Stegostoma tigrinum: one gene and its partners. The protein of the gene in region 1 interacts with the protein of each later gene in a biochemical or structural test. Links are inferred from orthologs where the notes say so. Each region holds a gene or a part of one and is shown in the gene's direction. Other genes may lie near its edges. The genes, in order: rbx1, ube2g2, ube2f and ube2m.

What was found.
Region 2: the proteins of rbx1 (region 1) and ube2g2 form a complex in vitro, tested with the Homo sapiens proteins (3 studies listed by BioGRID). The link is inferred for Stegostoma tigrinum from reciprocal best matches to the Homo sapiens genes RBX1 and UBE2G2.
Region 3: the proteins of rbx1 (region 1) and ube2f form a complex in vitro, tested with the Homo sapiens proteins (2 studies listed by BioGRID). The link is inferred for Stegostoma tigrinum from reciprocal best matches to the Homo sapiens genes RBX1 and UBE2F.
Region 4: the proteins of rbx1 (region 1) and ube2m form a complex in vitro, tested with the Homo sapiens proteins (15 studies listed by BioGRID and IntAct, with this or other methods). The link is inferred for Stegostoma tigrinum from reciprocal best matches to the Homo sapiens genes RBX1 and UBE2M.

Annotation. Positions count from the first base shown.
Region 1 is NC_081391.1:5,552,178-5,559,333, forward strand, and holds the start of rbx1 (E3 ubiquitin-protein ligase RBX1), read left to right. Parts: upstream 1-4,156; 5' UTR 4,157-4,214; coding exon 4,215-4,289; intron 4,290-7,156. UniProt on the Homo sapiens protein: E3 ubiquitin ligase component of multiple cullin-RING-based E3 ubiquitin-protein ligase (CRLs) complexes which mediate the ubiquitination and subsequent proteasomal degradation of target proteins, including proteins involved in cell cycle progression, signal transduction, transcription and transcription-coupled nucleotide excision repair.
Region 2 is NC_081360.1:17,279,989-17,287,287, reverse strand, and holds the start of ube2g2 (ubiquitin-conjugating enzyme E2 G2), read left to right. Parts: upstream 1-4,288; 5' UTR 4,289-4,392; coding exon 4,393-4,435; intron 4,436-7,299. Other genes in the region: pofut2 (GDP-fucose protein O-fucosyltransferase 2), read right to left, coding at 34-284, 4,070-4,206. UniProt on the Homo sapiens protein: Accepts ubiquitin from the E1 complex and catalyzes its covalent attachment to other proteins. In vitro catalyzes 'Lys-48'-linked polyubiquitination. Involved in endoplasmic reticulum-associated degradation (ERAD).
Region 3 is NC_081360.1:19,939,738-19,947,181, reverse strand, and holds the start of ube2f (NEDD8-conjugating enzyme UBE2F), read left to right. Parts: upstream 1-4,430; 5' UTR 4,431-4,582; intron 4,583-7,444. UniProt on the Homo sapiens protein: Accepts the ubiquitin-like protein NEDD8 from the UBA3-NAE1 E1 complex and catalyzes its covalent attachment to other proteins. Together with the E3 ubiquitin ligase RNF7/RBX2, specifically neddylates cullin-5 (CUL5).
Region 4 is NC_081391.1:19,879,775-19,887,319, forward strand, and holds the start of ube2m (NEDD8-conjugating enzyme Ubc12), read left to right. Parts: upstream 1-4,533; 5' UTR 4,534-4,666; coding exon 4,667-4,775; intron 4,776-7,545.

The DNA of each region.
Region 1 (7,156 bases):
CCATAGAGTCTGCATTGACCCTCTAAAGAGCATCCCACCCAGATCCATCCTATCCCCATAACCCTGCATTTACTATGGCCAATCCACCTAGCCTGCACATCTTTGGGCTGTGGGAGAAACCGGAGCACCTGGCACAAACCCATGCACACAAAGGGAGAATGTGCAAACTCCACAGAGAGTCCCCCAAGACTGGAATTGAACCTGTGGTTGCTGGCGGAGTGAGGTAGCAGTGCCAAACACTGTACTGCCCTGCCTCATAGTGCAGCACTACCATCAGCTAATTGGATAGATTTCAAAGAGATCTAGCAACTCGAAACTAAGCATCCATGAGGTACTGTGTACTATCAGCAGTAGAATTACATTCCACTACAACCTCTAATCTGACAGCCTAGCGCGCTCCCATAATGAACAAACTTGCGATTGACCCTGGTTCAAACAAGAATGGAGGAGGGCATGCCAGAAGCAGTGTCAGACATACCTAAAAATGAAGTATGAACCTGGTTAAGAAACATTGGACAAAGTATTTAAATAAAAGCAAAATGCTGCAGATGCTGGAACTGAAGCAAACAGAATGCTAGAGAAACCCAAAAGGTCTGGCAGTATCTATGCAGAGAGAAACAGTTAACAATTTGAGTTCAGTATGACTTCTGAAGGACAGCCATACCAGACGTGAAATGTTAACTCTGTTGAATGTTGCTGCACTTGTCTACCATGTAGTCACTTGGAGTCATAGACATAGACAGCACAGAAACAGATCCTTTGGTCCAACTTGTCCATGCCGACCAGATATCCTATATAAATCTAGTCCCGTTTGCCAACATTTGGCCCAAATCCCTCTGAACCCTTTCTAGTGATGTACCCATCCAAATGCTTTAAATGTTGTAATCATACCAGCCTCGACCACTTCGTCTGGCCGCTCATTCCATATACACACCATTCTCTGCGTGAAACAGTTGCCCCTTAAATTCCTTTTATATCTTTCCCCTCTCAACTTAAAACTATTGCCCTCTGGTTTTGGACTCCCCCATCCCAGGGAAAATACCTATTTACGTTATCCATGCCCGTCATGGTTTTATAAACCTTTATAAAAGTCACCCCTCAGCCTCTGACTCCCCAGGGAAAATAGCCCCAGTCTCTTCAGCCTCTAGCTATAGCTCAAACCCTCCAACCCTGGCATCATCCTTGTAAATCTTTTCTGAACCCTTTCTAGTTTCACAACATACTATAGGAGGGAGACCAGAATTGCACACAACACTCCAAATGTGGCCAAACCAATGTCTTGTACAGCCACAACATGACCTCCCAACCCGTTTATTCAATGCACTGACCAATAAAAGCAAGCATACCAAACACCTTCTTCACTATCCTACCTACCTGCAACTGCACTTTCAAGGAACTATGAACCTGCACTCTAAGGTGTCTTGTTCAGCAACGCTCCCCGGGACCTTACCATTAAGTGTACAAGTCCTGACCTGATTTGCCTTTCAAAAATATAGCACCTCACATTTATCTAAATTAAACTCCATCTGCCACTCCTCAGCTCATTGGGCCCATCTGGTCAAGATCCCGTTGTACTCTAAGGTAACCTTCTTCACTGTCACTAAACCTCCAATTTTGGCATCATCTGCAAACTTACTAACCATACCTCCTACAGTAACATCCAAATCATTTGTACAAATGACAAAAACCAGTGGACCCAGCACCAATTGTTGTGGCACATCACTGGTCACAGGCCTCCAGTCTGAAAGGCAACCCTCCACCACAACCCCCTGTTTTCTACCTTTGAGCCAGTTCTGTATCCAAATAGCTAGTTCCCCCTGTATTCTATGCTATCTATCCTTACAAACCAGTCAGCTGTGAGAAACCTTGTCGAACACCATTCTGAAGTCCATATAGATCACATCCACTGTTCTGCCCTCATGAATCCTGTTACTTCTTCAAAAAACTCAAATTAGCGAGACACGATTTCCTATGTACAAAGCCATGTTAACTATCCCTAATCAGTCCTTGCCTTTCCAAATAGAAGTAAATCCTGTCCCTCAGGATCCCCTCCAACAACTTTCCCAACACCGATGTCAGGCTTCATGAGCAAAAGAACAGAGATGACACGAGGGAAGTGCACTTGTGATCTGGAAATCACTGAAAACGTGACGGAACCAGATTCAAAAGTAGCTAGATATCTGAAGGGAAAATACCTCCAGGGCCAGGGATAAAGAGCCGTGTAATAGACTGTTATTTTGAAGGACCAGTAATGACATAATAGCCAAGTGGCCTCCTTCTTTGCTATATTATTCTGTGGATCAATTTTAAAAGTAGTTATTTGGGTGAATCACTTCAAAACATTTCAATGTGAAATGGAAGAACTTTCAATGTCGATATTTTTAATCAGCATGCTCAGATTCCTCACGCTTTGCCTTCTGCCAGTCAGCCATTCCTCTGGCTCAACCAATACCTTGCCTCTAACACAATTTGGGGCGGCACGGTGGCTCAGTGGTTAGTACTGCAGCCTCACAGCGCCCTCGGGTGACTGTCTGTGTGGAGTTTGCACTTTCTCCCCGTGTCTGCGTGGGTTTCCTCCCGGGTGCTCCGGTTTCCCCCCGACAGTCCAAAGATGTGCAGGCTAGGTGGATTGGCCATGCTAAATTGCCCGTAGTGTTCAGGGTTGCGTGGGTTATAGGGAGATGTGTCTGGGTGGGATGCTTCAAGTGGCAGTATGGACTTGCTGGGCCAAAGGGCCTGTTTCCACCCAGTAGGGAATCTAATCTAAAAAAAACCATCTTGTTTCCTTAATAATGGATTCTAAAATCTTACCAATGATTGACCAGGGCTAACTGGCCTATAATTTCCAGTCTTTGGCCTCCATCCCTTCTTAACCAGGTGTTATATCAGCCATTTTCCAGTCCTCTAGGTCCCTCACTGATTCCAGTAATTCCTGAAAGATCCTCCAATGCATCCATAATCGCCTCAGCTATCTCCTCCAGACACTTGTAGTCCAACTGGTCCTGGTGATTTATCCACCTCCAGACCTTTCAGCCTTGCAAGTATGTTCTCCTAAGTGATGGCCACCACACTCATCTCTGTTCATCGACATTCTTTCAGTTCTGGTATGCTGCTGGTGAATTCCACTGTGAAGACTGATGGAAATTAGATCAGCCGTGCTAGCTAGAAGCACCAAGTGGCCTGCTCCAGCCTCCAATTCATGTGTTTTAGTCTCGCTAAGGTGTGATCAGTATCTTCTACATTGTGAAAAGTTTTGAAGTGCTAATTTCACATCTCCACCAAGTCTTGCACAAATTCCCACTTTGGTCTCCAATTGGCCCTGCTTATCTTTTTACCACTCTTCCAGTATCCATAAGTTTTATGGAAGAATTTTGCGTTCAAGCTGCCAGCATTCTATCTTTGCTTCGACTATTTGCTTTTATCAAACCCCTCGGAATATTCCACGTTCAACATGCTCAGTTGTATTCGATGAAGCACAACTGACGTCAACTCCAATAAAAATCAAATTCCACATAATTGAAACACAAAGGGATTTGATTTCCTGGTGGTGAGGATGGTAACAACAGGGCAATGATCCCCAATAACAGCGGCCATGGCCTCGTGGGGGTGAGGAAGAAATCACGGCAAACCACTACCTGCAGGTGGCGCCATGCCGAGATGGGGGCGGTGCTTTGTGTAGGCGGTCACTTCTGGGGGTGGGCTTTGTGCATCTCATCCGGGTGGTCCTACCATCGGAGGCGGTACTAGGTGACGACATAGAGAGGCGAGGCTTTACTGGGGTGACGTTACGGAAAGTGGCGTGGCTCTGTGACGCCACACGGTGATGTTTACGTGCCAGTAGGTGGGCAGGCCTTTGATGTACAGCGGGTTTGGTGGCGAAATAGCGGGAGGAGGTGGAGCTCTGCTTCGTGCAGTGGGCGTGGCCAGAAACGCGTTGCGAAGGGGCAGGACTTTTGTTTGGGTACCTCCACAAGAGAGGAAACGGAAACTCCGGGGTGTAGACGAGAACATGTGACGTAGAGGCGGAGCTTAGTGGACTCCTGGCCCCTCCATACCGGAGGAGGCGGGGCTGAGTACAGTGTTTTTGAAGTTTAGTGTTGTCGGGATCCTCGTGACGCTAAGTAGGCGGGGCGTTAACCAGTCGGCTGCGCATGTGCAAATTGAACATAGCTGATTGGTTGGCAACAGGTAGCCACCGGCTGAAGGCAGACAAAATGGCGACGGCAATGGATGTGGACGCACCAAGCTCTACCAACAGTGGCGGGAAGAAGCGCTTCGAGGTTAAGAAGGTACAGTATGCTAGGATGCAGGATACAGACTGCTTCCAACGGAGCAGGGCTGGGTATTGAAACGTGTGATGTTTCCAAATCTGGCAGTTTGAAGCGGATCGAAACACGACCGGATGTTGGCGGCTTAATTGGCAGCACCAGCTGACTAATGGTGGCCGTGAGCTAACCGTAAGAGCATTGGGCAGGTTCTTGCGCCCCTAGTGTCTCCGTGCCCCCTAAATCTCATCCCGCTCCCACCTCCTGCCATCTTAGTCTGACACGCTCGCACGCCCCCGGCCTGCCCTTCCTGAGAGGCGCAGACTGCTCGCTTGCTGCTTTGTCATTGGGCCTCTGTCACATACATGTGTTTGTTTTTAGGCCGCTGGGTGCACGTCTGTTTCTCAGGGAGACAGATGACCAGAGGAGCGGGTGTGGACTTGTTACCAGCAGCTCCTGATAGTATCTTCCAGTACGGACCCATTTTAACACTCTACAGAAACAAACAGTTCACTTCCCGCTCACATTCGTACGTGCATTTTTGGTATATTGTTTAACAATAAAAGTAAGAATTGCTTTGTAATTGAAAATAGGAATTGCTGGAAAAACTCTGGGTTTGGCAGCATCTGTGAAGAGAAAAGTTAAATGTATTGAGTCCTCAACTTTATTCCTTTATCCCAGAGAACTAAGTTAATTACAGTTTATATTAAATGATTTCAATGTATTAGAAAAAAATGAGTCCTACCCTGTGCAAGAAGTTCTTGCTTTTTTTTAAAAAAAAGCTTTTCAATGGTGCAAGTGAGTTCAGAAGTAAACTTGTCATCAGACTTGAGGGGTTGTAGCCCTTGTCCCTGCATGCATTTAACAGTAATAGAGACACTTCCATTGTTCACAAATGTTTTCACTTTTCTCAGTTATTTGAGAGAAAAACAAATATTCATTGTCAAAATGCTGTGTAAACTTAAAAGTTGTATTATAGGTTGACATGTAATTGTTACAAATACATAATAATAAATTTTATGATGTCTTTTTATAAATGTTATTTTGTGTACCTGGATCGGTGTGAAGGCCTAGTGGTATTGTTCCTAATGCTCTGGTGATTTCAGTTCAAATCCTGTCTTGGCAGGTGTGGAACTTGAATTTACTAATTAAAAATTGGAACGAGGAGTCCAATAATGACATGAAATCATTGCTGTTTGTTGGAAAAACCCATCTGGTTCATTAATTTGCTTTAGAAAAGGAAACTGCTGCCCATGTTTGGTCTGTCCTACATGTATCATCAGATCCACACCAATGTGGTTGACTCTAGGGGTGTGCAGTGATTTAACGTGAGCCAATCTGGGTCATGGATCTGGCATGTTGGCCAGAAAAGAGCAGAAATATAGACTCTAGTCTTCAGGTGACTGATGTTGGATCCCAGATTGTTCTGTAGTATCACAGTTCTGGGTTGGCTGAGACACGCCACTGTTCAGCTTGGGGGCACCCGATACCAGGGACCAGACTTTATAAATGGGAGTGCTTCTGCAAGAAACATTATATGACTGTTTGTTTGTTTGTTTCTGTGGTAAAGAAATGAAGTAGCCCATTGGCCATAGAGAGTACCAGACAATAGCAGGGTAAGGCTGGATGCTGTCTGGGATGTGATGCTGGTTGTTATCTAAGGGGAGACAGTTCTTGTGATATGATTGCTTTTGCTTTTGCTCCTCCAATTGAGGTTGTTGTTTTCAAAATAGTTTGGAACTTACTGCCCCAAAGTGTTTAAATTCCCTTGAGTTTCTCAAATTTAGGTGCAGCCTAAGCATGAACATTTGTGGTGAGTGCAGTCTTTAATGATATTTCTTCATTTGGCCCTTTATAGAAAGCTGTGCAGTTGGTCATTCAGTCTTTATCTGACATACCTGTGTTACACTTAGTGCAGTCTCGTCTGCCAGTATTTGCTTCTCACTAATTTCTCTTATTACATTATCTCATTCTGCCAGCATATTCTTTTACTCCTTTCTCCCTAAGTACCAATCCTGCTTCCCTTTAATTGCAGTACATCTAAGCTATACCTTAGTACCTTCACCCTGAATTTCTTAGTGGACATATCAATGACTGTGTTTGTTTTATGAACTGCATGGCTGCTGATGCTGCAGTGATCAGGAATGTAGTAGGTCTGGAGGTGACTACGGAAACTAGAATATGCTAAATTCAGTTTCTAATAGTTGCCAAGTTAACTCCTTTCAAGGCCTTTTAGAATGGGCAGCAAATGCCAAACTTGTTGATATTTGCATCCTAGGAATGAATTGGGAAAGGAATTTAGTAATAGATTCAGAACTTGTAAGTAGATGAAGGAAAGAAAAACTCTCTGTCTAGGTCTCTTTTTCTCTCTCTTTTCTTCTCTTCCTCCCACTCCCCCCCCCATCAGTAGGCAGTGATCCTCTTTTAAAGTGTCATAAGTATTTGAAGCTAATATCACATTCAGTTTAGAGCTTAATGTTAAATTGTTGTTCTGCTGATGTGAGTTTTTCCAGACTGTCCACTTATTTCCCACTTGGTTATGGTGTGGTTTGTCCAATATCTGCAAATAATGTGATGGTACAGAAGTCCAATGATATTTCTTTCATTTTTTTGAGGTTATTTTAAGAGTTACTTGAAAACTGAATTGAGGGATTGTGTAAGTTTTTTTTTAAACTATTTTGCGTTCAAAGTTTTGCGGTATACGAAGCATTTACAAACTTGATGGGATGATGCAGTGGAAGTGTCTCTTCAACGTCATGTCATGCTTTTATTGACATTGCACGTACACAGCACCACAAACCAGGGTCTGAAATCAGAACTAGGAAAGCATTATTCCAGTCTAAGATATTTCAAGAGCGCAGTGCGAAAGGGGGCGTGCAATTGTCCATTTA
Region 2 (7,299 bases), on another chromosome or scaffold:
GAATTTCCAAAGGCAGGTTATAATTAAAGGTACCTGCAATAAACTGCTCGTGTTCAATGACAGGAATGTTCTTATTTAAGCTTGGCACATCAAAGAATAAAGACCAAGGGATTCGAACTTGTTTAAGACCTTCGCTCTGCCAATGGTAGAGATGCCCCCAGGGAGGAAGAACCAGCACCCAGTCTTCACTCTTCAGCAGGGTGCCCACTAAGCCCGCCATACGGAGATAGACATCTCGACGAAGATTAAATCCCTCTGGTGGATTCACATCATATAATAAATACCTAAAGGGATATAAAATATTGCACTTCATAGAAATATTCTATGTCCTCTGTTATTAAGAGTCACAAAGTGCATTGTAATAGATTATATTTCTGCAGTACCGGAAAGAGTAGCTAAGGGTGGGTGAGGACTAGGGCTGAATGTGATGAGAATGGTGTAACAGAATAGGATGTGAGAATTTAATTTCACTTCCGACTGGTGATGGCAGTGCATCATCTCTAGAAGCTGTAACTACAGTGTGACAAGGTAAAGGCAGTTAAAGTTTTGATGATAAAGTCTTGTAGCCATCAGCGGGTCTGATAGAATTATGCATAACATTTAATACAACAGAGCTTAACCCACCTCATTTTCTACTGATTATATTCCTCCTGTCATTTTGGCACCCTTTGCCATTTTTATTGCCAATAGCAAACCAGGAGAACTGTCCTTTCGGCTCGTAGTCATTCACCTTATAATTTCCCACACATTGTTAGCTCTGTCACACCAATAGGAGAGAATCTACAATGGTTTGCTTTTTAAAATTCCTATAGGTTACCAGCAGCAAGGTCTAGGCCCGAAACGTCAGCTTTTGTGCTCCTGAGATGCTGCTTGGCCTGCTGTGTTCATCCAGCTACACACTTTGTTATCTTGGATTCTCTAGCAACTGCAGTACCCATTATCTCTGATCACAATTTTAACCTCAGTGCAAAGCCTCTTCCAGGGATGCCAAACCTGAAGTTACCCTCCTCCCTTTGGTCCAATCTCAGGGAATCTCTCTCCCACTGCAACGCTCTTGTAGCTCTCTGATGAAGGGTCTAAGCCCAAAATGTCAGCTTTTGTGCTCCTGAGATGCTGCTTCGCCTGCTGTGTTCATCCAACAACACATTTTGTTATCAAGGTCACCTAGGGATGGCCAATAAATTTTGACACCGCCAATGACATTCATATACCACAGACTAATTTGAAAGAGGGGGCAGCACAAGTCGAACAGACATTTCCCTTGGAGTTCTCAATATCAAATAAGGACCCATGAATTCTCATGACAACAGTTACACACCATCCTCACCAACTATACTACTATCACTTCCCTACAGTAACCCGCCAGATACCTCCATATTCCTCCAAGCGACACACAACTCCGCCATTCTGCAATTATCCAACCACTCGTCCAAACCACCCCAACCCTCACCATTCCTCTTGTTTTCCCACACTATTGCACTTCTCGAAATACACTCAACACCAGCCCACCACTCCCCAGAATGCACCACATCAGCACTTACCTCTGTTCACCACCAACATTCCCCTCTCCACCACAAGCAGGGTTGCCTTCCCCCAGATCACCACCATCAGCTTCATCCACCAAATTCTTCAACCGCTCTCTGCCCATCTTCCCTCCCCACACCTTCCTCCCCCATATTCTCTTTCCTGTCTCCTTGTACCCCTTCCCTAATCCCCCTCACTTGACCATTCCCTTCAACACCCCGACTCAACTCCCCATTCCTGCCTCCCATCTTACCCCGATTCTCCCTTGCTATGCCACCGATGTTGTGCACCATCTGCCTTTCCCTGTTTCCCCCCCTCAAACTTCACCTTTCCTCTCTGACTCCAGCTTCCCCTCTCAAACCCCTAGCCTTCCCCTCCCCCTTGAACACCAATCTTCCCCCCAATTCCCTCTCTCCTTACCCCCTGGCCTCACCCGACTCCCACTTCCTTCTGTCCCTAACCCCAACTCTGCCTCCCACTCACCTCCCCCCTCACCTTGCCCCAGCCTCCCTCATCTCTCCCCCCGGCCCCCCATCGTCCCATTTCACCTTCACATTGCCTCTAGACTTGTGATCTCGCCCTTGCCTCCCCCATTTCCCCCTCTTCTATCTTCAATGTTTTGCCCCTCCTGACCATCCAATGCCCCCTCTCTCCCTAGCTGCCTTGCTCCACCCTTTCTCCCTCCTCTTTTCATCCGCCCTCCACGCACCACTTACTCTCCATGTCCAGCTTACCTCACTCTCCGTCCCTTCCAGTTTTTGCTCTCCCTAATCTCTATTCACTCCTTGCTCTCCCCTCACCCTCTCTCCAACCATTCCCATCACCTCCATCGCTGCTCCCTACTGCCTCCCCCATTCCCTAACCCACAACAGCAGTACAGTGGCTCACTGATTAGCACTGCTGCCTCATATCACTAGGGACCTGGGTTCAATTCCAGCCTAGGGTGACTGTGTCTGTGTTACTTTCTTCTGGGTGCTCTAGTTTCCTGTCAGTGCAAAAATGTGTAGATTAGGTGGATTGACCACCTGGGTACAGAAAATAAGTGCTGGTCCACTTCGCAACACCCATATCCCACAAGCGTTAGAAAGAAAAATTACACTGTGGACTACTATCCTATAAGTAACCAAAAAGCATTCTTGTCCATTACCACCATTATTGCTGACCCTGTTGAGCATTACTGTCACTACTCACCGCTATTGCTGACCCTGTTGAGCGTTCTTGTCCATTCCGTTATTGCTGACCCCGTTGAACATTACTGTCACTACTCACCATTATTGCTGATCCTATTGAGCGTTCTCATCTGTTCCTACCGTTATTGCCGACCCCGTTGAATATTATTGTCACTACTCACTGTTATTGCTGACCCCATTGAGCATTCCCGTCCGTTCCCACTGATATAACTGACCCCGTTGAGTATTACTGTCACTACTCACTGTTATAGCTAACCCCGTTGAGCGTTCCCGTCCATTCCCACCGTTATTGCCGACCCCACTAAGTATTACTGTCACTACTCACTGTTATTGCTGACCCCGTTGAGCATTCTCGTCTGTTCCCACCGTTCCATTGAGTATTACGGTCACTACTCACCGTTATTGCTGAACCCGTTGAGCGTTCTCGTCCGTTCCCACCATTATTGCCGATCCCGTTGAGTATTACTGTCAATACTCACCGCTATTGCTGACCCTGTTGAGCGTTCTCGTCCGTTGCCACCGATATAGCCGACCCTGTTTGTATTACTGTCACTACTCACTGTTATTACTGACCACGGTGAGCGTTCTCATTCGTTCCCACCATTATTGCTGACCCCGTTGAGCGTTCTCATCCGTTCCCACCATTACTGTCGACCCCGTTGAGTATTACTGTCACTACTCACCATTGTTGCCAACCCCGTTGAGTATTACTGTCACTATTCACTGTTATTGCTGACCCCGTTGAGTATTACTGTCACTATCCACCGTTATTGCCAACACCATTGAGTATTACTGTCACGACTCACCGTTATTGCTGACCCCATTGAGCATTCTCGTCCGTTCCCACTGTTATTGCTGACCCCATTGAGCATTCTCGTCCGTTCCCACTGTTATTGCTGACCCCGAAGAGCGTTCTCATCCGTTCCCGCCGACCCCGATGAGCATTCTCGTCCGTTCCCACCGTTATTGCCGAACCCGATGAGTGTTCTCGTCCGTTCCCACCGTTATTGCCGACACCACTGAGTATTACTGTCACTACTCACCGTTGTTGCCAACCCCGTTGAGTATTACTGTCACTACTCACCATTATTGCTGACCCCGTTGAGCGTTCCCGTCCGTTCCCACCGATATAGTCGACCCTGTTGTGTATTACTGTCGCTACTCACCGTTATTGCTGACCCCGTTGAGTATTACTGTCACCACTCACCGTTAATGCTGATCCCGTTGAGTATTACTGTCACCACTCACCATTAATGCTGATCCCGTTGAGTATTACTGTCTCTTCTGACCGTTATTACTGTTACTCCTCTCCGTTTTGACCGCCCCTCTTGATATTTTTGCTCCCCGTCCGTTACCTGCGTTGTTGAGCCACCGACGCCTCGTTGCCGCCTGTCTGCCCGGGACTGAAAGCTCCCCCGTCCCCGTACATTTGGCCGCCGCCGAGAGCAGCCACGCCGACGAGGAGACAGAGGACACGGAGCAACAACGCCATCTTGGCATGTCCCCCACGGGGCGAAGACAAAGGAAGGAGCGGAAGAAGCGCGGGGGGGTCCGTCGCTGAATTCCCTCCCTCCCCACCGGAAGTAGGACGGGTGCGTCGGTGTAACCGTTCCCCCCTCTTTTACTCTCCTTCCTTCCCCGCAACCTCTCGTTCGTGACGTCGTTAACGGTCGCGGCGATGGCAGGGACGGCGCTGAAACGGCTGATGGCCGAGTACAAGCGTAAGTTGTGAACGTAGAGGTGAGGGGTTTGGCCGGGGGAGAGAGAGAGGCCTCAGCGCCCGGGAGGGCATTGGAGCCTTGGGACTGCCCAGAGGCGGCGGATCATCGGGCGTTGGGGCCACTTAAAGATAACAAAGTGTGAAGCTGGATGAACACAGTAGGCCAAGCAGCATCTCAGGAGCACAAAAGCTGACGTTTCGGGCCTAGACCCTTCATCAGATGATCAGACCTCTGATGAAGGGTCTAGGCCCGAAACGTCAGCTTTTGTGCTCCTGAGATGCTGCTTGGCCTGCTGTGTTCATCCAGCTTCACACTTTGTTATCTTGGATTCTCCAGCATCTGCAGTTTCCATTATCACTGGGGCCACTTAAAGAGCCCACTGGAGATGGGGGAAGGCCTTGGGTTTGAAGGCACCTGAATTAGGGAAAAACGTAGGGAATATTGAACGGGGAATTCTTCTCCTGGACAGGCAGACGGTATTGAGACCATCAATGATCCACATCGTGCGATCAGGTCTCAGAGAGGTGAGAGTGTCGCTGCTGATCCAAGGCTAAATGTTAATTAATACCAGCACATTCCAGTATAGTTCCTGCTGTTCTGAGGAAGGGTCACCGGACATGAAACTTTAACTCTGACTCTATTTTTTATTCACAGATGTTGCCCGACCTGCTGAGCTTTTCCGGCAACTTCTGTTTTTGTTCCAGTGTAGTAACCACTAGTTTGTCATCGTTATGATTACTCTAAACTGAGTGACATGGCTATGGGGCTGACATTGCTAAGTAATCCAGGGGCAAAAGGGAGCGAGAAAATAAATCTATCAGTAGAGAAAAAAATGCTAGGGAAACTAATTGGGTGAAAGATCGAGAAATTCCCCCTGGTCCTGATGTGTCGCGTCCTCGGATATTAGAGGAAGTTGCTACAGAGATAGTGGATGCACTGCTGGTGATCTTTCAGGGTTGCTTACATTCTGGAAAGGGCCCGAAAGATTGGAAAATTGCCAAGGTAATATCTTTATTCCGAAAGGGAGGGAGACAAAAACAGTAACTGTAGAACTGATAGCTTAATATCTGTTGTTGGTGAAATGTTAGTCTATTATAAAGGAATTAATAGTTTTTCAGAAATGCATAACATAATCAAGCAGAGTTACGATGTAGAAATCATGCCTGACATTTACTAAAGTTCTTTTGAGGACGTGGCAAGCAGTATAGATAAATGGAAAACATTGGATTTAATATATTTAGGTTTGCAGAAGGTGTTTGATAAGGTACCACATATTAGGCTAATTAATAAGAGTCAATGGAACAGGGAGTTGTACATTAACATAGATAAGGTTCGTTTTATATTAGTTAGCTGGAGTTGGGATAAAGGGTTCAATTCTTGGATGGGGATCTGTAACAAATGGAATACCACCTGGATCAGTGCTGACATAATAATTATTTATCATACAAATATTAATGACCTAGATGAGGAAAGTTTGAGGATGACACAAAATAGGTGAGTGGTGAAGATAACACAAAGAATCTGTGGAGGGATATGACATATTAAGTAAGTATACAGAAACTTAACAAATGGAATGTAATGTTGGAAAATGTGAGGTTATGCAGTTTGCCAGGAAGTATAGAGGAGCTGAATATTATTTCAATGACAAAAGACCACAGAAAGCTGCAGTACAGAGGAATTTGGGAGCCGTCATCCATGAATCATGAAAAACTGGCAATCATGTTCAGTGGGTAATAGGAAAAGCAAAAGGAATGTTGGCCTTTATTTCAAAGGAAGTTAAGTATAAAAGTAGGAGGGCCTTGCTAAAACTACACAAAGCACCAGTCAAAACCCAGTGAAATTTGGCAAGCAGTTTTGGCCCCCTTAGATAAAGAAAGATAAACTTGTAGTAGAGGCAGCCCAGAGAAGATTCGCTGGACTGACATCAGGTATGGAGGGATTTTCTTGCATGGATTGGTTGAATAGGTTCAGCCCGTACTCATTGGAATTTGGAAGAATGAGAGGAGACCTCATTGAAACATGTATAAGATTCTCGGGGAATTTGATGGGATAAATGCAGAAAGGTTATTCCTCTTTGTGGGAGAGTTAAAATAAGAGATCACTCTTTTAAGATAGAGGAGGAATTTCTTCTCAGAGGGTAGTAAATCTGTGGAATTCTTTACTGCAGAGGGCTATCGACACTTGGTCCATAAGTTTATTCAAGGTGAAGATATATTTATAATCAGTTAACGAATCAAGGATTATGGGGAAATGGTAGGAAAGTGGAGTTGACGATAATTAGATCACACTAATTGAATGTCAGAACACGTTTAATCATCTGCATGGCCTACATATCTTGCATTTAAGGTCTTACGGCAGCAGCAGCTTTGCATGTTGTCAAGTAATGTCGCCGGTGTCCCCAAACATGTTACAAGTTTAATTCTGCAAGAAAGGCTTAACTTAAATAACTCCTTTATAAGACCTCAGGCTATGCTATAGCACTTCACAACCAGTGAGATACTTTTGAAATACAGTCACTGTTGTACATTGCACAGCAAGTGATATGCAGGAAGATCTCACATACAGCAATATCATAACAACCTGCACTTTATTGACAAAAAACAGGGGAAACACTGTTAATGCTAGAAGCCAGGAACCAAAGCAAGTAGTGATGGAAAAACTCTGGTCTGACAGCGTCCATGAAGGTAGAATCTTATTTTAATTCACTTGTGACTCATGGGACAGATTCTGCAGGACCTGCTGACTACTTTTGAAAAATTCTTTCATGTGTCATTGGTTGGAGCAGCATTTATTTCCCATTCCTTGTTGCCCTTGAGAAGGTGGTTGTGAATTGTCTTCTTGGACTGCGCCAAGACATGTGCTGT
Region 3 (7,444 bases), on another chromosome or scaffold:
CTGTGCCTGAGTGCTGTCCAGGCCTCGCTACACTACAGCAAGAACTGCTTCAGTATCCGAGGAGTTGCAAATGCTTCTGAACAGTGTGCTTTCATTAGCAAACCTCCAGCCTTATGTTATATCGGAGGAGATCCGTTTTATTAAAGATTAACAAAATTCCTTCAGTTATACACGATTCCTCTTAGCAAAAACCAAGAATTTCAAGTACTCATCTGTAACTGCCCTGCCACCTTCAAAGACTTATGTACTCAAACCACCATGGGTCTCTCTATCCCCGCAACCCTTTAAAACTGTACCACTAAACTTGTCCTGTCTCTTCAGGGTCTATCAAAATGCTTCACCACGCACTTCCCGCTAAATTCATCTGACATGCATTTGCCCATTTTCACCAGTCTGTGTCCTGCTACTACTGTCCTCCTTATTGTTTATTCTACTTCTAAGTTTCATATTATCTACAAGCTTTAAATATCCTGTGTAGCCAAATCAAGATGATTGATATTAAAAGGTCGTACCTCCCTAACTCACCAGCCCTGAAACAGGGCCTTTGTCAGACTGGAGAATTTGCTGGACTACAGGAGATTGCTTGTCAGGATCAACCTGGGAGTTTCTAAACCATTCTTTTCTATACTCCCACACCACTTTACAGAAATTAAACGACAGGTACTGTCTTTGTGTTAGTCAATTGCCTGAAAATCAAGCAAGCCTATAAAGGCCTATGCCTAGAGTTACTATTACTGGTTCTGATAAAATGGGGTTCTCATGTTCACTTACCTGAATACCTGTGAAACTCATGTGATATACTTAGAAGAGATAAGCAATGAGATGATTTTGTAGATTAGGGGTTGGAATTGCGGTGTTTACATTGGGTGACTGTCCTATAGTTATCAAGCAATTGGATGGGGGATGAGGGGTTGGAATGGCACATGCTCCACTCCCCTAGAACATAAGCAGGCAGGAAGGAAAAGTTATGTCAGATGAAAAACTTTAAGTTGGATGAATCCCCGCTGGCTTCAGCCGTCAGAGTTTCTATTTTATACATTGCCGGGTGGGAAACTGAGGAGAGAAGAAGAGGAATCCTGTGGGACTGAATTTTGCAATTTGAATTTAAAGAGAGTCTACTCACAACTGGTGAAGCAGCAATCACTTAATATTCAGGGCAGCCAGATTATGGTAGCTCAACGAAAGAATGTCCAGAATTATAAAAAGAAAACAAGAAGCCTGAAGAAGTATTTCAAAAACCAGATAAAAGGCATGACAAGACTTTGTGGTTTTACTTTTCACAAAGCAATTTAAAATTTAGTTAAATTAAATTATTTGCTGTAAAATTATGTCTGAGGAAGCAAGCAGATCTTTAATTTAAGCTAATTGCTAATAAAACGATGTAATGCTACAGACTAATAGATGATATTGATGATTACTTTTATTTGACTAGTTATTAGGCACAGAAACTGTAATAACTTCAATGTGCCGTATATACATCACTGCAACTGCTTTAAGGTCAAATGACTTCAATTTTAAAAAAAGTGCCCGATCCAGTTTGGCATCAGAAGTCAAGCAGAATGATTGGTCTTTGACTGAGAGATTGTAAATACCAAGTGCAATGACTTTCTTTTGCCACCAGATGGTGATGTCAGCTCTGCATTCATCACCTTGCACTTTTGCAGCATATCTCCACTGTACAGTTTCCTGAGTTGTCCAGTCCACGGTGTGAAGCAGGGGAGGACCCAACTAGAACTGGAACACAGAAGGCTTTTCACAGATCCACGAAACAGGCCAGTATAGCCAGGATCTAAAATTGATTTCCCTAGCAAGATAAATATTGGTGAACCAGAGGCACAAGTATCCACAGTGTTATGATATCGTGCATTAATGGAGTCCTGGCTCTAACATGGGTAGGAGTGGGAACTTCATATTCCTGGCCATTTGGCCATTACTGCTTTCAGGGAAGATGAGGAGCAAACAAAAGCGGGAATGATCAAAGACACTTCGGGCACTAGAGAGGTTGATGTTCAGTCTTTGTACAGTCAGGGAAAATAACAAGGTATAAAGTGAAGTGAATTTGCCAAACCAGAAGGTAGATAACTTAACCTGGGTTGAAAGAAGATCTAGCTCAGGTGGATAGGAACCAAAAATGACACGTCAAATGAGGATAGGGTTTAAATATAGATTCTTAATTTCCTATGAATGGCACCAAAACTGCAACTGTACATTTCTTTCATGGTTCCCATCTGCATTTTTCAAACCAAGTTGGCAGAAGGTAATCAGATTTTGGATAAAAATTTTAATTCTGGGCATGTGAATAAGTTTTGATTGAGTTATGAATCTCACAACATGTCCTGGATTTTAAAAAATTCTTTCATTAGTTGCTAGCAAGGAATGCATTTGTCACCCATTCCTAATCACGCTTGAGGATAGTTAAGAGCCAACCACATTAGGCTCAATTACCCCACATTTTACAGGACCATCCGATAAGATAATGGCAGAGTTTGATGCTTCAGCCAGAGCTCATCCATTCTGCCCGTTCTTGTTCTTCTTTTCCTCCCTCTTTGCCTCCCTTCTGCGGTTTACCTCTCCCCTTCCGTCTTCTCGGCCTCCCGGCTTTGGAAGTGGGGGCAGCAACCAGCTGCCTGGCCTAGTGCAGCGTGTGGCTGCTGCCAGTGTTCAGAGCATGTAGAGACCCCCTGCGCTTACCTGCTGCTGGGAGCCCTTGGATCGAGACTGTGAGGTTTGTCTCTTTAACTTTGGTTATACTGTATGGAACTGTAATGTAACTTTCTTTCCATTTCTCTATTCTGTAACTGAGGATTGTATGTGGTAATCTGTACCTCAGATGTCACCATGTCCAGGTGACATTAGTTAGCGTGTAGCTAGTCCTGTAACTGAAGAAGCTGTACCTCACATAGCACTGTAAATGGCAACTTATCAACTTTTCACTGTACTCATTTGAGAACATGACAGTAAAGCTAATTCTTTCAATTATTCCATGAGGCAACAATCATTTAGAACATAAAACATAGAACAATACAGCGCAGAACAGGCCCTTCGGCCCTCAATGTTGCGCCGACCTGTGAACTAATTTAAGCCCATCCCCCTACACTATCCCATCATCATCCATATATTCACTTATCATCTGCAACCAGAGGATGGAAAGTTGGCTTCCAAGAGGAATGCAAGGCCAGCATTTATTTCACCTGTGACAGCTCTCTGGTATACCAATGATTCTTAACATTCCTGTCAGCTCCTAGAATATATCTGCATTCTTTAAGGCAGTAGCCACTGAGAGAGTGAAATCTTTTTATCCTACTCACTGCAAAAACAGCTTGAATAAATATGCAAACATGATAAGGAAAATCCCATCTAAGCTAAAGATATGCATTACATGTGATTAAACACAGATATTTTGTCAATTAAATAAATTATCCTGTAACTACCAAAGACAGCTATTCTTTCACCACCAAAAGAAAAGGATCTTGATGGCTTTAATCATTAATTAAATGTTTCAATATTAAGCAGTTTTTGAGGATCTGATTAAATGGATTAATTTTTTCAACACTCTTTGGAGGCTTCAAAAAGATTTATACTTGGTTATTTGCTGCCAGGGCCTTTTTTTTTGATAAGTACTGTCCTTTCTGTTCTCCATTGCTCATTCTCACACAATATACTAAATACCTTGTATTGAATTGTCAGATGGTCTAAAACATTACCTCAGGGTTCTGGAACCTCAGTTTTGATTACTCCTCCCTGCACATAAATCACTTAAAAGCTGAAAAAAATGATAATACAGCAGGATGATCACAAAACAAAAGGAGAAGTTAAGTTAGATGTTTGAGCTTTGAATGTTTCACACCCAGAATATATGTCTGAGAGGAGAACTGTACTCATTTTTACTCCCAGCGTTTCACCAGCGACCCCACTACAAAACCTCACTTGTTTTCTTTGCAGAAATCACACAGGGGACACAGAAGGTAAGGAATGATGGCAGATTTCCTTCCACAGACTGCTTCAGTAAGCCAGCTAAGCCTTTACAACAGCCTTACCATTGGTGACATCAGTGAGACTGACTTTAGAAGCGAGATTTTAAGAATTTAAATAAGTTTCACCAGCTGCCAAGGTAGCTTTATAACTGTTCTACCCCCAGGGCAGATGGATGAATGATCCAGTGTCATGACCCCTCTTTAGAGTGTAAACCCATGAATGTGGCCAGAGATACAGAAATGCTACAAAAACAAGCCTTGGAAACCAGAGAAACAATCTCCTTACTCACCAGGCAGTTCCTTCGCCTTCTGGAAACTGATCCCGGACCGAGGCCGTACCGAACCTCTCGGTGTCCGGACTTGTTCCTTGGCTCCGTACCGCTTGTTGGTCCCTAGACAACGGCGGACAGAAAAAGGTGACGGACCCGCGGCCTGTAGCGGAAGTGGTGGGCGGTGGGGCGGAGGTGTTTAGCGGTGGGACCAGGTGAGGAGATTTCCGGTAGCGGCCTGTCGGCGCGGCCGGAGCCGGTTGAGGGATCGGTTGCTGGAGGCACCGGGAATGGTGCGGGAGCGCTTGGTGCTGTCGGTGACAGAGAGGGAGAGCCGAGGTGAGGAGCCCTTCCGTAACCGTGGGAAACATTTCTCAAGTGAGCCGCACGCTGCTGTGGGAAAGAGGGCAGTCAAAACGCGCACAGAAGGATCCCACAAGCCGTGTTGTGACCCTGACCAGATATATTCTGGCTTTAATCAGGTTAACTGAAGGGAAGTTATTGGGCATCAGGGAGATCACCCTGGAAATAGTACCGCAGGCTCTTCTACATGCCCCCATGAGGGCGAACATGGCCTTGGAGTATCTGGAGGTTGGCACCTCTGCCTGTGTAGTCTGCTCTAACCCAGAGCCTACCGCAGTGCTGTGTTTCCAGTATCTACTGGGCTTTATCATCAAAAATAGGGTTTTAACCTCCAAGTTTCTGGGTAGGTGAGCGATACACCAAGAGTGGTGTGCATCGTCGGCATATATGTTTAGGGAGAGAGCTTGTATATAAACATACATGTTGTGTGCGGCATCTATAAATGTATATCTACTCCCAACAAGCCTATAGTTCAATTCATATGATGCCCTTTCACAGTGGAACATGGATACAGCTTAAAAACAGGAACCCCACCGAGTGGGGATAATTGAGTTAGTCAAAGGTGTACTTTACGAAATACCTCCAAGAGGATGACAGACACATACGATTGTTTTTAGAAATCCAGACCATCTGGCATAGATTGCACTATACTACAGTTTGTATTTGAGTAATCTAGTCTGCTGTTTGATATTCTACTAAATACGATTTAATACCATTACCAATTTGGATTTCATTTTGTTGCGGTTTTGTGACCTACAAGTTCTGTCAGTGGTGTGGTTTGCAGCATTACAGACACTGTTGTTGTTATAGTACATGTTCCATAATTTTAGATGTGCATGTATTAAATTTGACAGGATATTGTGGTGAGCGTTGGATGTTCGTATTTAGTAAGCCATGATAGAACATCAGAACTTAGTTTTTGTATACCTATAAGCTTTTATTTACAGCCATGTTGTACATCATGCACCTCCAACTAACAATCCTCCGTTCCGCCTGCTCTGAGTGTAGGTCAGTCCCCAATTAATGCTCACTATCCTTTAGATAAATTAACACAGCGATAAACAATTCCTCCCGTGTCTTTAAATTTTTTTTAAATTGTCATACGCATAAAGACTTCCATTTTGTGTTCAGAGCCTTGCATTGCAAGATCACCCTCCTCCAGAACCCCTAATAACTTCTTTGACCTCCTTTACTGAAAAGGGCTAACAGTTAATTAATTTAATTACTTTAAACCAGGCCATTTATTTCAGAGATAAAGGTGTAAAGCTGGATGAACACAGCAGGCCGAGCAGGAAGGCTGACATTTTGGGCCTAGACCTTTCTTCAGAAAAAAAAGCAGAAATTGCTTTCATTTCTGCATTAGTTTCAAACTAACAGGATCTCACTACAACTTTGGCACACTCATGTTTCATAGAGCATTTTATCCCAAAGTGCATGCAGTATCTTCAGTACTCCTACTTTACAGAATACAGCTTAAAATATTTGTCAAAGAGAATCACGTTTCCACAAGGGTCAGTTTTTCAACACCCGGAGTACCTTCAACAACTCTCATTTCTTAGCTTCGCGGGGTAAAGGATGACATTTCTCATTCTCTTTGAAAAGAAATTCAGTGAAACCAAGTACTCTGGTGTATGAAGCTTTATGAAAATAATAACCAATTTCATTCATGTTTTTCCGACCATTTAAGGATGGGTAGTTAACTATATATTTTTGCCAGATTTTCAATTTATTTTATTTGATTTGCCCTTGAAATTTACTGCTGCTTTTTCATCAAAAAAATACTTCATTTCAGCACCTCAAAACTAGTACCTTGGTGCACTCAGAATCAACATGAGCTTACCTAGCCAATCAAACTTTGTGCTGTAATTACTTTGTCTCTTCCTCAGATACCACTTCACTGTTCTGTGATGACCTTGTACAACAGTCTCAATTTTACTCGATTTAATTTTAAACCAGATCCAGTTTGGCCCCACGGCCCTAACTTCCAATTTCAAATACTGTGTAATCTTACTATCGAATCCCACCACAGCAGGTGGAATTTGAATTCAATAAATGTTTGGATTTAAGAATCTAATGATGACTTGTGAATCCATTGTCGATTTGTCATCTGGTTCACTAATGTCCTTCAGGGAAGGAAACTGACATCCTTACCTGGTCTGGCCAACATGTGACTTCAGACCCACAGCAATGTGGTTGACTCTTAACTGCCCTCTAGGCAATAAGGGATGGGTAATAAATGCTTCCTAGCCAGCGACGCCCTCATCATGTAAATGAATAAGGAACTTTAAAAATTGGACTCGTCATACAAATACAGTTTCTACAAGAGCAGCTCAGAAGCTCGGAAAACTGCAATGAATAAGTTACCTCCTGACTTCCGAAGCCAGTCCATTATCTACAAGTCCCAAATCAGGAGTGTGTTTCAGTACTCCCCACTTGCTTGGATGAGTTCAGCTCCAACAATACTCAAGCTTGACACCATCCAGGACAAAACCACCCACTTGATTGACACCACATCCACTCCGTCCACCATCAACACTCAGCAGCTGCAGTACGTACTATTTACAAGATGCACTGCAAAAATTCACTGAAGATCCTGATACAGCTAATTCCAAACCCGCAACCACTTGATCAAGAAGTACCAGGATAGCAGATACATAAGAACATCACCATTTTCAAGTTCCCCTCCAAGCCATTCACCATCCCGACTTGGAAATATGTTAAGTGTTCCTTCACTGTTGCCGGGTCTAAATCCTGGAATTGTCTGTCCGGGGACATCAACACCACCTTTTTGAGGGATACCTGTGTCCACAACTGAGTAAATAAACTACTTGCATTGCA
Region 4 (7,545 bases), about 14 Mb from region 1:
AGTAGTGAGTTGAGGAAGAGAGAGTCTGAGGTGGACCATGTGAAGGTGAGATTAAAGTGGAATTGGAAGCAAAACTGATGATGTATTCCAATTTAAAAGGAGAGGCTGGGCAAAGCATCAGTGACAGTTATGAATACTCTGAAGGATGAGCTGTGGGATCAGAACATGAGATGCTCCGGAAACAGGCAAGTGCAGTTATGCAGTTGCCCATAGCAACATCTTTAATTTAAGCAAGTCAATTGAGAAGCCATTCATTGTCAGGACAAATGCAGCCAGGCTAACGAAGATGTTGTTGGATGGTGACCAGTTTGGCCTCCATTCAAGGAGGAAGTGGAGAGCCCCCAGATTGCCCTGGAGGGTTTCAGAAGTTATGGAAGGATTGAGTGTCCCATGTGACAACCCACTAGGAAGTTGGAAACCATCAGGAGTCTCACAGATGTAAGCTGGATGAGTTTTTCTTTGCAATATTGATTAAGGAATAAATATTGATTGCCATATTCCCATTGCCTACATTTCTGTCTTAGGTTTGCTGCAGTGCTCCAGCGAGGCTCAACACAACAAGGAACAAGAAGATGACAATGAGCACCTCATGTTCTGCCTAAGTACCTTACAGCCCTTGGGAGTCAATGATGAGTTGAACAATTTCAGAGCATTAACAACTATCTCCACGTTCATTAGCCACCCCACACCCCCAAGCTTTCTTCTGCATGGATTATTCCCAGCACAGCCAACCCATTTTCAACTATTCAGACTTGTCGTTAGCACCCATTTAGCATTTATCTCTCTCCCTGTTTATGATCAGCAATCCCTTCGGATCCCTCTGGGCATCATCTCCATTTATTTGTCTCACTCATAAAGTCATACAGCCAACCATAATCCCAAACCATGGCTCATATCCCTGCAAACATTTCTTATTCATGTACTCATCTAAATGTCTTTTAAACATTGTAACTATATCCACATCCACCATTTCCTAGAATCATCAAGTCATACAGCATTGAAACAGACCCTCCGGCCCAACCAGTCCAGGCCGAACATATCCCGAACTAAACTAGCCCCACCTGCCTGTTCCTGGCTCATATCCCTAAAAACCTTTCCTATTCATGTATCCATCCAAATGTCTTTTAAACATTGTAATTGTACCATGCATCCACACTTCCTCAGGAAGTTTATTCCACACGCAAACCACACAGCACGTAAAACGTTCGCCTCATGTCTTTTTGAAATCTCTCTCCTCTCACTTTAAAAATGTGCCCCTTAGTCTTGAAATTCCCAATCCTAGGGAAAAGACAACTCCATCAACTCTATCTATACCTCTCATTATTTTATAAACTTCTATAAGTTCACCTCTCAACACCCTACGTTCCAGTGAAAAATGTCTAAGCCTATCCAGCATTTCTTGTAAACAGCTTGATAATATCGTTCCTATAACTGGGCAACCCGAACTGGACACTGTATTTCAGAAGAGGCCTCACCAAAGTCCTGTACAATCCGAGCATAACGTCCTAACTCCTATGCTGAAATGACTGAGCAATGAAGACTAGCATGCCAAGTGCCTTTTTAACCATCCTCTCTATATGTGACACAAACGTTAAAGAATTATGTACCTGCACTCTAGGCCTGTCTGTTCTACAACACTACCCAAGGCCCTACCTGTGTTTGTTGTACCAAAATGCAATACCTTACATTTATCCAGATTGAACTCCATCTGCCATTTCTCAACCCATTAACCCACTTGAACAAGATCCATTTGTAATCTTAGAAAACATTCTTCACTGTCTACGATGCCACCAATGTTGGCGTCATCTGTAAACTTACTAACCATGCCTTCCATATTCTCATTCAAATCATTTATATAAATGACAAACAAAAGAGAACCCAGAACTGATCCCTGTGGAACAGTGCTGGTCAAAGACCTCCAGTCTGAAAAACAACCCTCCCACCATCACCCTCAGTCTCTTGCTGTTCAGCCAATTTTGTATCCAATTGGCAAGATCACCCTGAATCCCATGTGATCGTGCTTGACCACTTAGTATGCCATGTGGAACCTTGTTAAAGGTGTTACTTAAGCCCAAGTAAACAATGTGTACTGCTCTTCTCTCATCAATCTTCTTAGTTATTTCATCCAAAAAACTCAATAAAGTTTGTGACACATGATTTTCCTTGCACAAAACCATGCTATTACTATTCATTCCTTGCCTCTCCAAATGCACATAAATCCATATAACTCAGTTAGCTCAGTTGGCTGAACAGCTGTTTAATAATGTAGATTGATACCAACTGTGTGGTTTCAGTTCACATATGGACTGAAGCTACCATGAAGCGTCCTCCCTTGCCTGGGGCATGGTGATCCTTAGTTTAAAATATCACCAATCTTGTCTCTCTCGAATGAAAGAGTGGGACTGTGGTGACAACTTTTCCACCCACTCAACCCGAACCCCACCCCACGTCTGTTATCAGCATAAATACCTCTACCCACCTGTGGCTTTCTCTGCTGAAGAAGGATCACTGGACTGAAAATATAACTCTGCTTCACTCTCCACAGATGTTGCCAGACCTGCTGAGTTTCTCTAGCAATTCTGGTTTTGTTTCAGATTTCTAGTATCCACAGGTCTTTGTTAAATATAGGCCAGGACTGGTGATGTCTCCCTTGCTCTCCTTTGAGATAAGGGAAATGGAAGCTTTGACATTTATCTGAGAGGGCAAGAGATGGCATCTGCAACCTTCATTGTTAATGTGGGTATTTATGCTTAAGTCTCTGGAGTGGAACGCACATTTCTTTGACTCAGGGATGAGTATGCTCCCAGCATGGTACATCTGCTATAGAATAAGGAAAAGAAAATGTCTACACACACAAACATAAATGTGAATTGCTTTGTCACGCGACTGACCTAACTGACAGATAATCCCATTATCACGTTGTTTGTGCCTGCTGTGTTTCCCACATGGCAACAAGTGTCTATGCTTTAAAAAGAACTTTAAATCGCCTATATAACAAAGCGTGAAGCTGGATGAACGCAGCAGGCCAAGCAGCATCTCAGGAGCACAAAAGCTGATGCTTTGGGCCTAGACCCTTCATCAGGGCTCTGATGAAGGGTCTAGGCCTGAAACGTCACTTTTGGACCCCTGAGATGCTGCTTGGCCTGCTGTGTTCATCCAGCTTCACACTTTGTTACCTTGGATTCTCCAGCATCTGCAGTTCCCATTATCACTTTAAATCGCCTGTGATGTGTCTGGAGCCTCGTGAGCCATTCAAGCCCCTTAAGTGTGTCACTCACTGTCTCTTGTGTCACCATCCACAGAATGTGTCGCTTATTGCGAAATGTGTCTCTCATTTCCCACCTCTGTGCGTAACCCATCTTGTAAGCGTTATAAGTTCTGAGAAAGGATCACCGGACCCGAAATGTTAACTTTGTTTTCTCCGTCACAGATGCTGCCAGACTCGCTGAGCTTTTCCAGCAGCTTTGTTTTTGTTCCTGATTTACTTTCGGTTTTTATTTTGCAAGTGTTTCACCCATTGCCCCCCATCATGTGATGCCCATCTCCCCTTGTATGGCACCCATTTTCCCCCCATCGTGTGACACCCATCTCCCCTTGTGTTATAGCCATCTCTCCTTCTCCTGCACTGCTCAAGGTGCAGTTGTGTAAGAACCGAAAGAACTGTGGATGCTGTAAATCAGGAACAAAAACAGAAATTGCTGGAAAAGCTCTGCAGGCCTGGCACCATCTGTGAAGGAAGAGACAGAGTTAATGTTTTGGGTCCGGTGACCCTTCCTCGTGCGAACTGTTCATCCACTTCACCAACCACTTCCATCCCAACCTAAAGTACTTAGGTTTTTGTGCAATGATAATGGGAACTGCAGATGCTGGAGAATCCAAGATAACAAAAGTGAGGAGCTGGATGAACACAGCAGGCCAAGCAGCATCTCAGGAGCACAAAAGCTGACGTTTCGGGCCTAGACCTATCTAGGTTTTTGTGCAGTGGTGTTGCCGTGTGAAATGAGCAGGAACTTGAGCATTCAACACAGTGCGCCAAACTGCAGGAGATCCGCCTCTCCCATTCAGCCCCGCCCCATTCACTCGACCACGCCCATGTCACTCACCTGGCCACGCCCCCTCAAATCAGTCCCGCCCATTTGCAACCTGCCGCGCCCCCTTTTCGGCCCCTAGACTTTGAATAGTCTCCTCCCCCATCATTCAGCTCCGCCCCTCCTGCACCGGCGCCCTCACCTCTAAATTCCGCCTTGTCACTTAGCCACGCCCACCTATTGTGACCCGCTTCACGTTTTCTCGCTCCGCCCCCCCAATGTATCCATACTCACACAACTGACCCCGCCCATATCCTTCAGATCAGCCCTCTCCCATGTAGCCCCGCCCCATTCTTTAGTTCCGCCCAGTCACATGTAGCCGCGCCCACGCCGGTAACAGCGCCCGCGTCCTCTAGACCCGCCCCCAACGCTATTAGGCCCCGCCCCAACGCCTTAGCCGCACCCATTCCCTTGGCTCCGCCCAAGCCCGCTAACCATCCACGGGCTGACCCCGCCCCCTTGCCCTCTGACCCGTTCCGCTCCCACGCTGCCCCGCGCTCTGCTCCCTGCCCGAGCGGCGGCTCCGTGTCTCCCTCCGACCCTCAGCCTGAGTCCCGAGGCCCCGCCGCCGCCGCATCATGATCAAGCTCTTCTCGCTCAAGCAGCAGAAGAAGGAAGAGGACGCCGCCGGAGCCGCCAAGACCGGCACCAAGAAGGCGTCGGCCGCGCAGCTCCGCATTCAGAAAGGTAACGGGAGGCCGGGGGCTCGGCGAAGCCAGGGCCCAGGGGAGGGTGAAGGGATCGGCGGGCCAGGCCTCTCTGAGGCACCGGGGCAAGGGGTACTGTTGTCGGCGGGGGTTGGAGACCGGCCTCTGACCCACAAGGAAGGCCTGGAAGCAGCTAGGCCTTAAATGGAGCCTGGGATCCGATTCGACCGGCTTGCTTCATGTGGAGAGGGCTCTGCTCCGAGGTCAGGACTGCGAGAGACCCCAGGATTGCCGGCGGGCAGAGACAGAGGAGAGGATCTGGGTGCTGGGCTCCTCAGAACGCCCTTCCCCAGGGTTGGGTGCAGTTGCCCCCACCCCTTTCCTCCCCTCATTATGGCCTGACTGTGGGGTGAGGAGAGGGTGTCAGGGATTTCCCCCAGGTTCAGTGGGCTCCTGATGAAAGCACTGATCTGCCAGGGTGAGGCAGCTACAGCCAACTGCTTCCTAACTGCCTGGTAACTGGTACCAGTTCTGGTCTTTGACCACCGTGTTGCCGTCTCTTGAGGGGAACCGCAGTTGCAATCTGTCACCTCAGCCCATCCGTCACCCCCTCCCTTCGACACTGATATAATCCCTACCCTCTCAATGCCTCCACTCTTGTAATCTGCCACCGACACCAATTCCAGGGTTACCATTCCTTGGACTCCTGAACCGGTTGTCCCAGCACCCAAGAAGTTTGAAATTTGCCAACAAAATATCAGGTTTCTTCTCCAAAGCGTTAAGACAAAGAAGGATATGTAGTCCCATACTTGCAATGCTAGTTTGAAATTGGGGCTAGATGGAGTTTTATTAAAATCACAAAACATCAGTTGCAGAAGGTGGTTTTCACACATTGGCAAGTTGATGACTATGCTTGAATGGGATGGCCTGTGGGGGCAAGGAAGAAGTTGGAGGTTCTCCAAACATAGTTGTTAGAGTGTGCTGCGCTGCACTCTGGGGAATATTTTATGTTATCATTTAAGAGGAAGCTGGGGAAGCCTTTGAAAGGCTGCAATATAAAATATTTCAAGGGAAAGTAACTACATAGCTCCTGTTGAAGTGCTCTTATTGACTCGAAGGCAAAGTGCTGTAATTTCTAGATTTTATTTGGCCTGTACACTTGGAATGTACTGCTGCTGACATCCATCCACATTGGAAATCTCCTCACATAACCAGTCATCCATTTCTAATCTTTGACAAAAGGTGGCGGCAGTAGCTGGTACTCCAGCTAGCCATTCATCATGCCCACTCATGGACAGGCATTGGATTTCTGAATGCTGTTTCACTTTCTTTCCTAAGCCTTTATCCAGCTGATCAGTCATTGGTTTTGACCCAAGGTTGACAGGGATAGGTTGGGGGATGTGTCTGGGTCAGATGCAGTTCGGACGGTTGATATGGACTCGTTGGTCCAAACGGCCTGATTCCACAGTGTGGGGATTCTATGAAAATGTGAATGCCATCCCCAAAATAACTGCTGCTCTGCAGAATTCTGTCATTACCTGAGCCCCACGTATTTTTGGATTGTGTAAGGGGACACATGTTGGGAAATGCTTTATCCAGTGTCAACGATTTACAGATCACTGGACCATGGAATGCTCTGACCCAGACGGCAGTGGAGGCCAACTCTCTGGACAGTTTCAAGAAAGAGATAGATAGAGCTCTTAAAGGTAGTGGAATCAAGGGTTATGGAGATAAGATAGGAACAGGATACTGATTGTGGGTGATTGGCCATGAATGGTCGTGCTGGCTCGAAGGACCAAAGGGCCTACTCCAGCACCTGTTGTCTATCATGATAGGGGCAGGAGGAACGGACCATTACTCACAAGAGGACCTAAGGTAGGGAAATCCTGAGGTTGTATTGATCAGATAAGGAGAAAGAAAGGGGAACTGACCAAATACAAAGAGAGTACAGGTGCTCTTTCTACATAAATATGTTTTTAGAATATTTGTCAGTTCTCCAAAATGTTTTGAAAGATTTATATTGGAAAATGAGCACTGTTCAGTCAATTTCAAGGTTACTTTATTTTCTAAATATCTAATAATTTGAGTGCCACAAGTTAGAAAGCACTATATGTGAGGGGTGTTCTTTATGGTGTTGGCCTCTTATTTAAGGGAAGAAGTAAATATGTTGGAGACAGTTAAGGTGAGGTTTAGCAGACTGATACCTGATGAGCGGGTTATCTGTAGGTTGGACAGACAGGGCCTGTTTTCACTAGTTTAGAAGGGGTGACTTGATTGAAATGTGTAAGGTTCTGAATGGTCTTGATAAGATGGACTTGGAAAAGCTGTTTCCTCTTGTGGGTGAAGCCAGAGCTTGGGGACCCTGTTGCACAAAGATGAGGGATTTATTGTTTTCTGAGAGTTGTGTAACTTTGCCTCAGCGGACAATGTAGTTTGGATCACTGAATATTTTTAAGGCAGAGGTAGATAAATTCTTGATAGCTTTTGATTCAAATGACCATGAGGAGCAGATGAGAATGTGGAATTCAAAAAGCAAACAAATCAGCCATAATGTTATTGATTGGTAGAGCGAGGTCAAGGGGCTGAATGGCCATTTCTGCTCCAATTTTGTATGTCCGTATGGAGGATCTTTTCGTCTTTAAAAAAAGCGTTCTGATTGCTTTTAGGTACTAGCAGCTGATTATTGTTGAGGACCCTATTGTGTCAATCGTCCTTGCACTTCCTCTCTCTCGACTAATGTGAATTCTGTTCCCAGCAGCTGGTCAGCTCTTCCCCATCTGCCTGTCTGCCTGAGGTTATCACCCCTTCAA